Coturnix japonica: one gene and its partner. The main gene of each other region encodes a partner of the protein of the gene in region 2 in a complex. Links are inferred from orthologs where the notes say so. Each region holds a gene or a part of one and is shown on either strand. Other genes may lie near its edges. The genes, in order: SH3BP2 and TNKS2.

What was found.
Region 1: the proteins of TNKS2 (region 2) and SH3BP2 are in contact, whole or in part, in a crystal structure (PDB 3TWR), measured with the Homo sapiens proteins. The link is inferred for Coturnix japonica from reciprocal best matches to the Homo sapiens genes TNKS2 and SH3BP2. Residues at the interface, in NP_079511.1 of Homo sapiens: Arg525, Ser527, His531, Phe532, Gly535, Tyr536, Asn537, Arg538, Leu560, Asn565, Ser568, Tyr569, His571, Asp589, Trp591, Phe593, Glu598, Lys604; in NP_001116153.1 of Homo sapiens: Leu413, Gln414, Arg415, Ser416, Pro417, Pro418, Asp419, Gly420, Gln421, Ser422, Arg424.

Annotation. Positions count from the first base shown.
Region 1 is NC_029519.1:74,760,452-74,763,933, reverse strand, and holds part of SH3BP2 (SH3 domain-binding protein 2), read left to right. Parts: intron 1-162; coding exon 163-228; intron 229-535; coding exon 536-1,127; intron 1,128-1,890; coding exon 1,891-1,999; intron 2,000-2,340; coding exon 2,341-2,396; intron 2,397-3,065; coding exon 3,066-3,147; intron 3,148-3,388; coding exon 3,389-3,448; intron 3,449-3,482. UniProt on the Homo sapiens protein: Binds differentially to the SH3 domains of certain proteins of signal transduction pathways. Binds to phosphatidylinositols; linking the hemopoietic tyrosine kinase fes to the cytoplasmic membrane in a phosphorylation dependent mechanism.
Region 2 is NC_029521.1:17,299,952-17,304,500, forward strand, and holds the start of TNKS2 (poly [ADP-ribose] polymerase tankyrase-2), read left to right. Parts: upstream 1-1,507; 5' UTR 1,508-1,718; coding exon 1,719-1,920; intron 1,921-4,549. UniProt on the Homo sapiens protein: Poly-ADP-ribosyltransferase involved in various processes such as Wnt signaling pathway, telomere length and vesicle trafficking.

The DNA of each region.
Region 1 (3,482 bases), on a different chromosome or scaffold from region 2:
TGCATTTGAATTTCAAAGATGGAGACAAACAAGCATGCTGTGTTCTTCATTCACTGTTGTAAGCAATGGCTTTCTTGGTTGATGTCAAAATGTAAGAAAATGCACGCTGTGAATAGCAGAGAGGTGGTTGTCTGAGACTGACACGTGGATTTTTACTTGCAGATTATGACCAGGAGGAAGATGATGAGTCCTACTTGCAACCAGATACTTCTGACATAGTGAAAGATGGTATGTGATTGCCTCTATTCCCTCCAGAAAATGCTGGCAATTAAGATCAGTTTGTGTAGGATGTCAGATCGCTGTTTCTTAGTCATACCTTAAGCACTTCAGGTGACAAATTAACCAATGAAAGGCATAGGTATCAAATCTTGAGAGGCATTTAGGGTGAAAAGAGCCTAGTAACAGCAGTAACAGTTTCTGGAGGGTCTGCTGCCCTGAAGGACCTGCATGTGGTCACCAGTCTGGAGGAGGGGGTAATGCTTTTTCAGTAGTCTTTTTCCCTTTATTTCCAACATTGGGTATTTTCTTTGTGCAGATATGGTCCTGCCCCCAGCCTACCCACCACCACCGGTCCCTCATGTCCGAAAAGCTGCCTACTCAGAGTCAAGGTCACATTCCTTTAGTGGAAAAACTGCTGGGTCAGCACCACCACCACCACCTCCAAAAAGGAGCTTACCTGAGATCAAGTCAGATGATTTCTTCGGTGTGAGAGAGCCCCAGTTACAATGCCGAGCTGAACCTAACCTAAAGATTCAGTCTTCCAGCCGAAGACCAAGTGAACAGCCACCTCCTGTACCCCCATTACCTCTTTTCAAGAAGCCTTTTTGTGTCAAAGAACCTTCCTCACTGCCTCCGGAACCTCTCCCTCTATCTCACGTTCTCACTACTCCAGAAGGATGCGAGAAGCTAAAATCCTTAAACCTTTCACCACGGACTCCTCCTCCACTGCCGAGCAATAAACCCAAGTTGTCCCAGATAACTGAAAAAACAGTAGAAACCAAAGTGCCAAGAGAACATGGGAAACCGGGACTGTTTGTGCCACCAGTGCTTCCAAAGCCACCCGTGCCAGGCCACCAGCATCCTGTACCTAAACCTAGACCAGAGAAGCCTCCGTGTCCCCAGTTACAGTAAGTGTGAAAATACGTCCCAGTATCAAATAAACCTTTATGTCAGAAAGTCAGTGAACCTCAAAAAATGATTTTAGACCTCTATGGAGACAGGAAATGGTTAAGATCAGCTTTATGAAGGGAGGTGCAACTAGCTGTGCTGTTTAGGCAGCTGGAAATGTTTTTGTCTGCTGGATTGTGCAGCTTTAGAGAAGGAATGAAAAACTCTTTAAATGCCGTACAAGGAAGAGAGATTGATTGATTCATGGAAGTGAGTCCATCCACCAAGATGTTCGGGCACATGATACGTGAGGAGAGGCTGAGAGATTTGGGTTAGTTCAGCCTTTAGGAAGGCTAATGGAAGATGTCACTGCACTCTATTGGGAAGGCTAGTTGAAGGTGTTACTGCTGTCTACAGCTACTCATTGGCAAGGCAGGGAGATTACAGAACAAAAGATCTGCAGTGATAGGGCAAGAGGCAACAGACAGAATTCGTGACCTTGGAAATTACAGTTAGTTATAAGTTGTAATTTCACCTTGTGGATGATCAACTCAGAGAGGCTGTGGAATCTCCGTCCTTGGTGATACTCAACCAGACACAGCTGCCTGGGCTGTTTGGACCTGCTGTGTGCAGGAGCTTGGGCTAAATCATCTACAGCTGTCCCTTTCAAGCTACATTGTTCTGTGATTCTTGATGTTCCAGTTTTATTACCGTTTCAGTGCTTGGTATATTTGTTCTGTTTTCATTGGAGATATCCTTCAGTTTTTGTTCTGTTTCTGCCAGGAGATCACCACCAGATGGGCAGAGTTTTAGAAGCTTCTCATTTGAAAAACCAGCGCTGCCCTCCAAGCCAAATCAAGTGAATGATGATTCTGATGATGACTATGAAAAAGTAAGAGCAAACAGATGATATATATTTTTTAAAAGACCATTTTTCCTGCTTTCTCTATAGGAGAGCTCTGGGACATGATTGGGGGTGAGAGGGGAGAAGGGGGTGGGGGGGAAAAGAACCTTCTGAAAATGCAGCTCTTTGTGATTTGTAGATTTAAGGAATGCCTTTATTAATTCTGGATTGTAGTCATTGGTATACAGGAGGAAGAAATGTCAAGTTCAGATTAAAACATTATTAACAAATTCAGATATCAGCAGCTGTAGCTTGTTTGGATACCATGTTAGTATTTTGTGTTTTCATTGTCCTTCATGGTCACTTAATTTCTTTGTATTTTTCTACAGGTTGAGTTGCCTACTTCAATATTTCTTAATACCTCTGAATCCTTAGAAGTTGAAAGGTAGATGTGGCTTTCAAGTTACTTAAAATCCTATAAGTATCTGTGTTGAACAGTAGTTTAAAATCATTTTGAGATATATAATTTGTGTTTAAAAACATGGTGATATATTTGAATCACTCTGCTTTCCAGCAGAGATAGTTCAGTGCTTGTGTATCAGTTGAGAAAACATAGTACTTATAAAATGATCCTACCCCCTCTGGAAATTATTGTTCTGCCAGGATGCTAAGGGGACAGATCTTCTGTGACACATCACTGATTGATATGCTAGAACAGTAAAATTCTGTCTAATATGATGTAATATAAATTATTACAACTGAAACAGATTTGTAACGAAGAATTGGCAGCAGTGTGCCCTTGTGGCTAAAAAGGGTAGTGTTATCCTGGGGTGCATTAAGAGGAGCGTGGCCAGCGGGTTGAGGGAGGTGATGGTCTGCTCCTACTCTGCCCTGCTGAGTCCACATCTGGAGTGCTGTGTCCAGTTCTGGGCTCCCCAGTTGAAGAAGATGCTTTCCTGTGCAACCTACTTTAGTAAGGTGGGGGTGACTGGACTAGATGATCTCCAGTGGTCCCTTCCTGCTCCTATAATTCTGTGATTACAAGAAGCTACATGTTAATGTTTCCTGGATCAGATAAGTAACATATGTCAATATTGCACTGTTTTTATTTTAGGATATTTAAAGCTACTAGCCCAAAGGGACAGCCACAGAATGGATTATACTGCATTAGGAACTCATCTACTAAGGCTGGAAAGGTAACTTGCAATTGCAGAATCTACCCCTACAAAAACCTTCAGGATTTAGTGATGCTGTATTTTTACATGTTAAAAGTACTTAGATCTTCTTGCTTATTGTTAAGTACTGAAACAATTGCTATTATATCTTCAGTGATTTTTTTAATAGGCCAGTCAGCTGGTTGTAAATAATTCCTTAATTATACACTGACTTCGAGTTTATTAGTGTAAACTGATTTTTGTTGCACTTTTCGTTGTTAAGGTATTAGTTGTATGGGATCAATCTGCAGAAAAAGTGAGAAACTACAGAATATTTGAAAAGGTGAGTGGCTCTCCTGTATATGAAGCTTTTGTAT
Region 2 (4,549 bases):
GACCCACACCACCTCTCTGAACCCCATGATCTGAAGAGGAAAGGCAATGCGGTGCTTCAGGAAGTAACCTAAATTCTAGGTCTAAGCATGAAGGTGCTCTTTTGTTATTTATTCTGTGTTTCTCCAGTATTTTCAGCCCTGTTCGTCTAGCTGGTGTTAAAGGACACAAATCACAGCACTGCAGAGGAGCCATTGGGAAGCTCTGAGATGGTTTCAGGCCCACACACCATATCTGTGACAGTTTGTGCCAGAGCGTTATGGCCGCACGTGTAGCAGCAGATGAATTATGTGTGTGACAAGCTGAGGAGGAACAGTAGCCATGGCCTGACATTTTCCTGCCTACTGAGCACAGCTTGCATGGGGAAGAAAGCCAATGGAATGACACGAGGCTGTTTGTCACAGTGTGTGCTTGCTGTCTCTGTGCTGGCTGCATCCTCTGGTCACAGTTCTGTTGGCTGCGTGCCTATTTCTGGGTTAAATGACACAGCCAGGGGCACTGGACCTTGACCTGTTCCTGCAGCACAGTTGTGGCCTGGGCAGCTGGTACTCTCCCCATAAAAAATCCTAGGTGCAATTTAGACCTTAGCAGGGACAGGCAGTTTGGGCTTAGCTACCTTATTGCAGAGTGGAGTGGTGTTTAACAGAATGGAAGTGACTGAATGGCACAGATTAGCAGCTAGATCCCTTTCCTGGCTCTCGGGCAGTCTAATTTACTGCTGTAACAATAGCCTGCAAGTTCAGTGAGTTTGGAGGCATTTATCCTTCCTGCCTGTGGAACAGGAAGCTCCTGGCCCCTATCAACTACCTTTTCCAAAGTGTTTTTGAAAGATTATAGCACGAGTGGAAAAATACATTTCAAAATTACCAAATTAATCCTATTCTAGTTAGTCCCATCTAAGCTCAGACTTCCCCATCAGGCTTGTTAGGATTAAAAGAAAAAGATTCTCTCCATTCTTCTTCAAATCCTTGAACTGGCAGTCATAGAATCACAGTAATATAATATAATCATATAATTTAATCATATAATAGCTTGAATTGGAAATGACCTCAAAACCCTCGCAGCTCTAACCCCTGCTGTGGGCTGGGTCAGGGCCCCATCCAGCCCATTGCTGGGGCACACACAGCTCGCTGGGCAGCAGTGCCAGGGCCTCACTCCCTCCCTCTTTTTTTTCAGGATAAAGCAAACAGTTTAATTTCTATCATTCCCATTTCCTAAGTATGCAAACACGTATTTTTGAGTAACATGTTTTGATATGTAAATAACTACTTTAGGATTTTTTATTTTAATTGCATCAGGAAGTTCTTAGCACCAGAATGCTTAACGTTTCTGGGGAGGGGGAAAAAAAAAGTCCTTTATTAGCACATCCTAATGGATAATTCATTAAGTAGCACGGGATCGCTTCTACAGCTGTGGAACCACAGACCACCCTCATCCCGCAGCAGCAGCCCGGCCCCGCGGCTCCGCTCCGCCTCCCGACCCCACGTGTGCCGCATGCGCGCCGTGTCCGGCCGACCCCTTCCTGGCTGCATCGAGGCAGCTGCTGGCTGCGGTATCGCGGCCGTTCCGCCTGGATCCCTCCGCCGCGATGCGCCGGGCCCAGCGCCCTGCACAGCGCCCTGCACAGCGGAGCGAGTCCGGGGCTGCCGCCGCGCGGGGCCGCGGGCTGTGAGCGGGTCAGCGAGGGCCGCTCGGCCGGCTCCGTGGGGCTCGGCCCGGCATGGCGGCGCGGCGGTGCGCGGGCGGCGCGGCCGCCTTGGCCGAGGCTCCGGGCTGCGGCGCGGCGGTGGAGCCCGCCCGGGAGCTGTTCGAGGCCTGCAGGAACGGGGACGTGGAGCGGGTCAAGCGGCTGGTGCGGCCCGAGAACGTGAACAGCCGCGACACGGCGGGCAGGAAGTCCAGCCCGCTGCACTTCGCCGCAGGTACGGCCTACGGCCGCGCTGCCGAGTCTGCGGCGCCGGGGGAGGGCCGAGGGTGGCCGGGCCGCGCATCGCCGCCTCCCCGAAGCGCCGAGCACGTTCGGGCCGGGCGGTGGGGCGGCCTAAGGCCGTAGTCGCTGCTGTGGGGGCGAGGCCTTGTCCCCGCTGTCCGGCTGCCGGGCTCGGTGGGGCCGGAGGCCTCTCGCGTTTCACGAGTAAATGAAACGGCCCGGCCGTGGGGCTGCAGCACCGAGTGATGGCTCTGCAGCACCGAGTGATGGCTCTGCAGCACCGAGTGATGGCTCTGCAGCGGCCTGTGGGCTCGGTCAGCTCCGAGTGTCCCCGTAGTGCTCCTAGTCCCTCTGCAGCCCAGCTCGCTGAGCCTTTCTCCCACGGATGGTGCCCGACCGACAGCACGGTTCCGAAGTTGTTTTTTTTTTTTGCATTTGTGTCGTTAACAAATAGACTTTGTTAATTTGGCACTTAGGCAAATAGCTGACATCACAGAACAACTGCTGTCTCTGGTGGCTGGCCGGAAGACTGTATACCACCTTTTCAGACAAAGACACGATTGTGGCTGTTGTTTTCGTGTTGTTTCTCTGGTTGGATTGCAGCCTTAGCGGCAGGGCCCTGGGGTAGGCAAGGGGCAGCAGCTTTCAGCTAGAAAGTGCGTATAACTAATAACGAAGTTTGTTCCCCCAGTGAATTATTTTAGAAGAGGTTTCTAATTAATATGTCATTTTCTCTCATTCAGTAGCTTTAATGGATTTGAGTTCCTGAGAGCTACTTTTTCAGGACAGCTGTGATTTGCAGATTTAGGAAACTCGATCAGCAGGAAAGCCCAGGGGACAACATAAAGCATCCTGTCAGAGGAAGGGAGTTTTGCAGCTATTTTTTCATAAACCCCAGCCCTGCCTCATAGCTCATAAACTTCTAAATAAATGAGACTGTTTAACAGCATTTTGTAGATGTGGGTTGTTAGGTTGCTTGTTGGTTGGTTTTTATTGCTTATTTTTGTTTTGTGCCTGAGGGCATAGGCAGTGACCTAGTTTGCCTCTCTGGACAGGGCTGATCTGTCTTGGCTTTATAAACCAGAACTTCTAACTTACTGAAAACTTCTTTTTTTTTCATTAAATAGGCAAAGAAAGGCAAAAGTGTGAGTAAGTGCTTTTGTCCTTGCTTCTATCCCTTTCAATCTGAATGCAGAGAATTTAAATGTGTTTCTCATAGGACTGTAGGATGTACAAAAAGTTTCTGGCTAAGGCAGGATGTAAAATGCACGTGTAATGTCTTGATGCAATGCGCTTCCACTGCTTCAGATGGGCTGACAGCAAAAAGGGCTCTACCTGCAGTAGGCTCAGCTTGCAAGTTGGCCATAAGCAGCTCCTTGGGTTGGAGGTTAGGAATATTTTTGTTTGTTTTGCTTTTTCCATGTTATTTTCAGTTTGAGTAATACCAGCTTCTTTTGTCTCTGTTGCCTGAAGGAATTACATTCCAGGAAGCAAAAGCAAAAGTCTTGTATTCTGGCTTTGTTTAGCCCAGGTTCATGTTCTTAGAAAAAATGTTACAAAACTTCTCTGACTAGTTTCATTCACTTACGAGGCTTTGTTTTGTGAAGAGGTGGCGCTGAAACATGAAGATCGTTTTTGTGTTGCCATTTTTCTCTTTCAGGGACACTCTGGGTCCTGAACCCGGTTCCTTTTTCTTTTCCTTTAAATATCAATGTAACAGAAAAAGGAAACAAACTAACGCAAATGCTCTTTTTTTTTTTTTTTTTTTTCTTTTCTCTCTGTGTCCTGAGTAGTAGCTCTGCTGCTTTGCAGTAAGAAATGAAGTGTGCTGGTGGGACCAGCTATCTTGCATTGCTTTGAGCTGCAATAATATTTAGTTGGTCTTCTGATGGAAACTTGAGAGCTAAAAAGAAAAGCTTTAGAATAGATGAATATTGAAGCCATTCTTGCAGCAGTGGGCTACTAGCAAAGGGGGAGTCACTGCGGAGTGTGTGCCAGTAAGGGCTGTGTTCCTTGAGCATGCAATAGGAATAAGAAAGGTGATTGCACAGAGCCTGACCCCCTCCTCTGCACACGTACTCCCATAGGAAATGCTTCAGTATGCTGTGCCTTCTGGTAGGGATGCTCCCACAAGGCTGTGGGGAGCCCCTGCAGCACACTTTGTGCTGAAACCAAGTTCCAGAAGCTGGTCTGATGCAGATGATCCTCTGTCTCCACTCTACCATAACGGTGGGTGGTTTGGGGGTGTTGTTATCCCCCCAGTAGGGGCGTATTTCCCAGCTGGGCTGGCTTTGCCCTGAGAGAAGCTGATGTAGGAACTGTGTTTGATTGAACCCACATACTGACTGGAGGGCCACAGAGTGAATTCTCTACACCTATAGTGAGGCTTGCCACAGCTCACTAGCTGTACTGGTATGGATTGACGCTCACATTGGTTTTCTGTGTTCAGAACTGTGAGCACACGGCAAAGTTTTGATGGACAGTGATGCCTTCTATGCAAGAATGAGTGATGTTTATCCATCAGATCCATAACTGAGGCAGAAAGCTGGATCAGAGGCTTTTCTAACACAACTGGTAAAGTAGTTTCTGGAAAACATTTTATGGTACCAAAAGCAGATGCC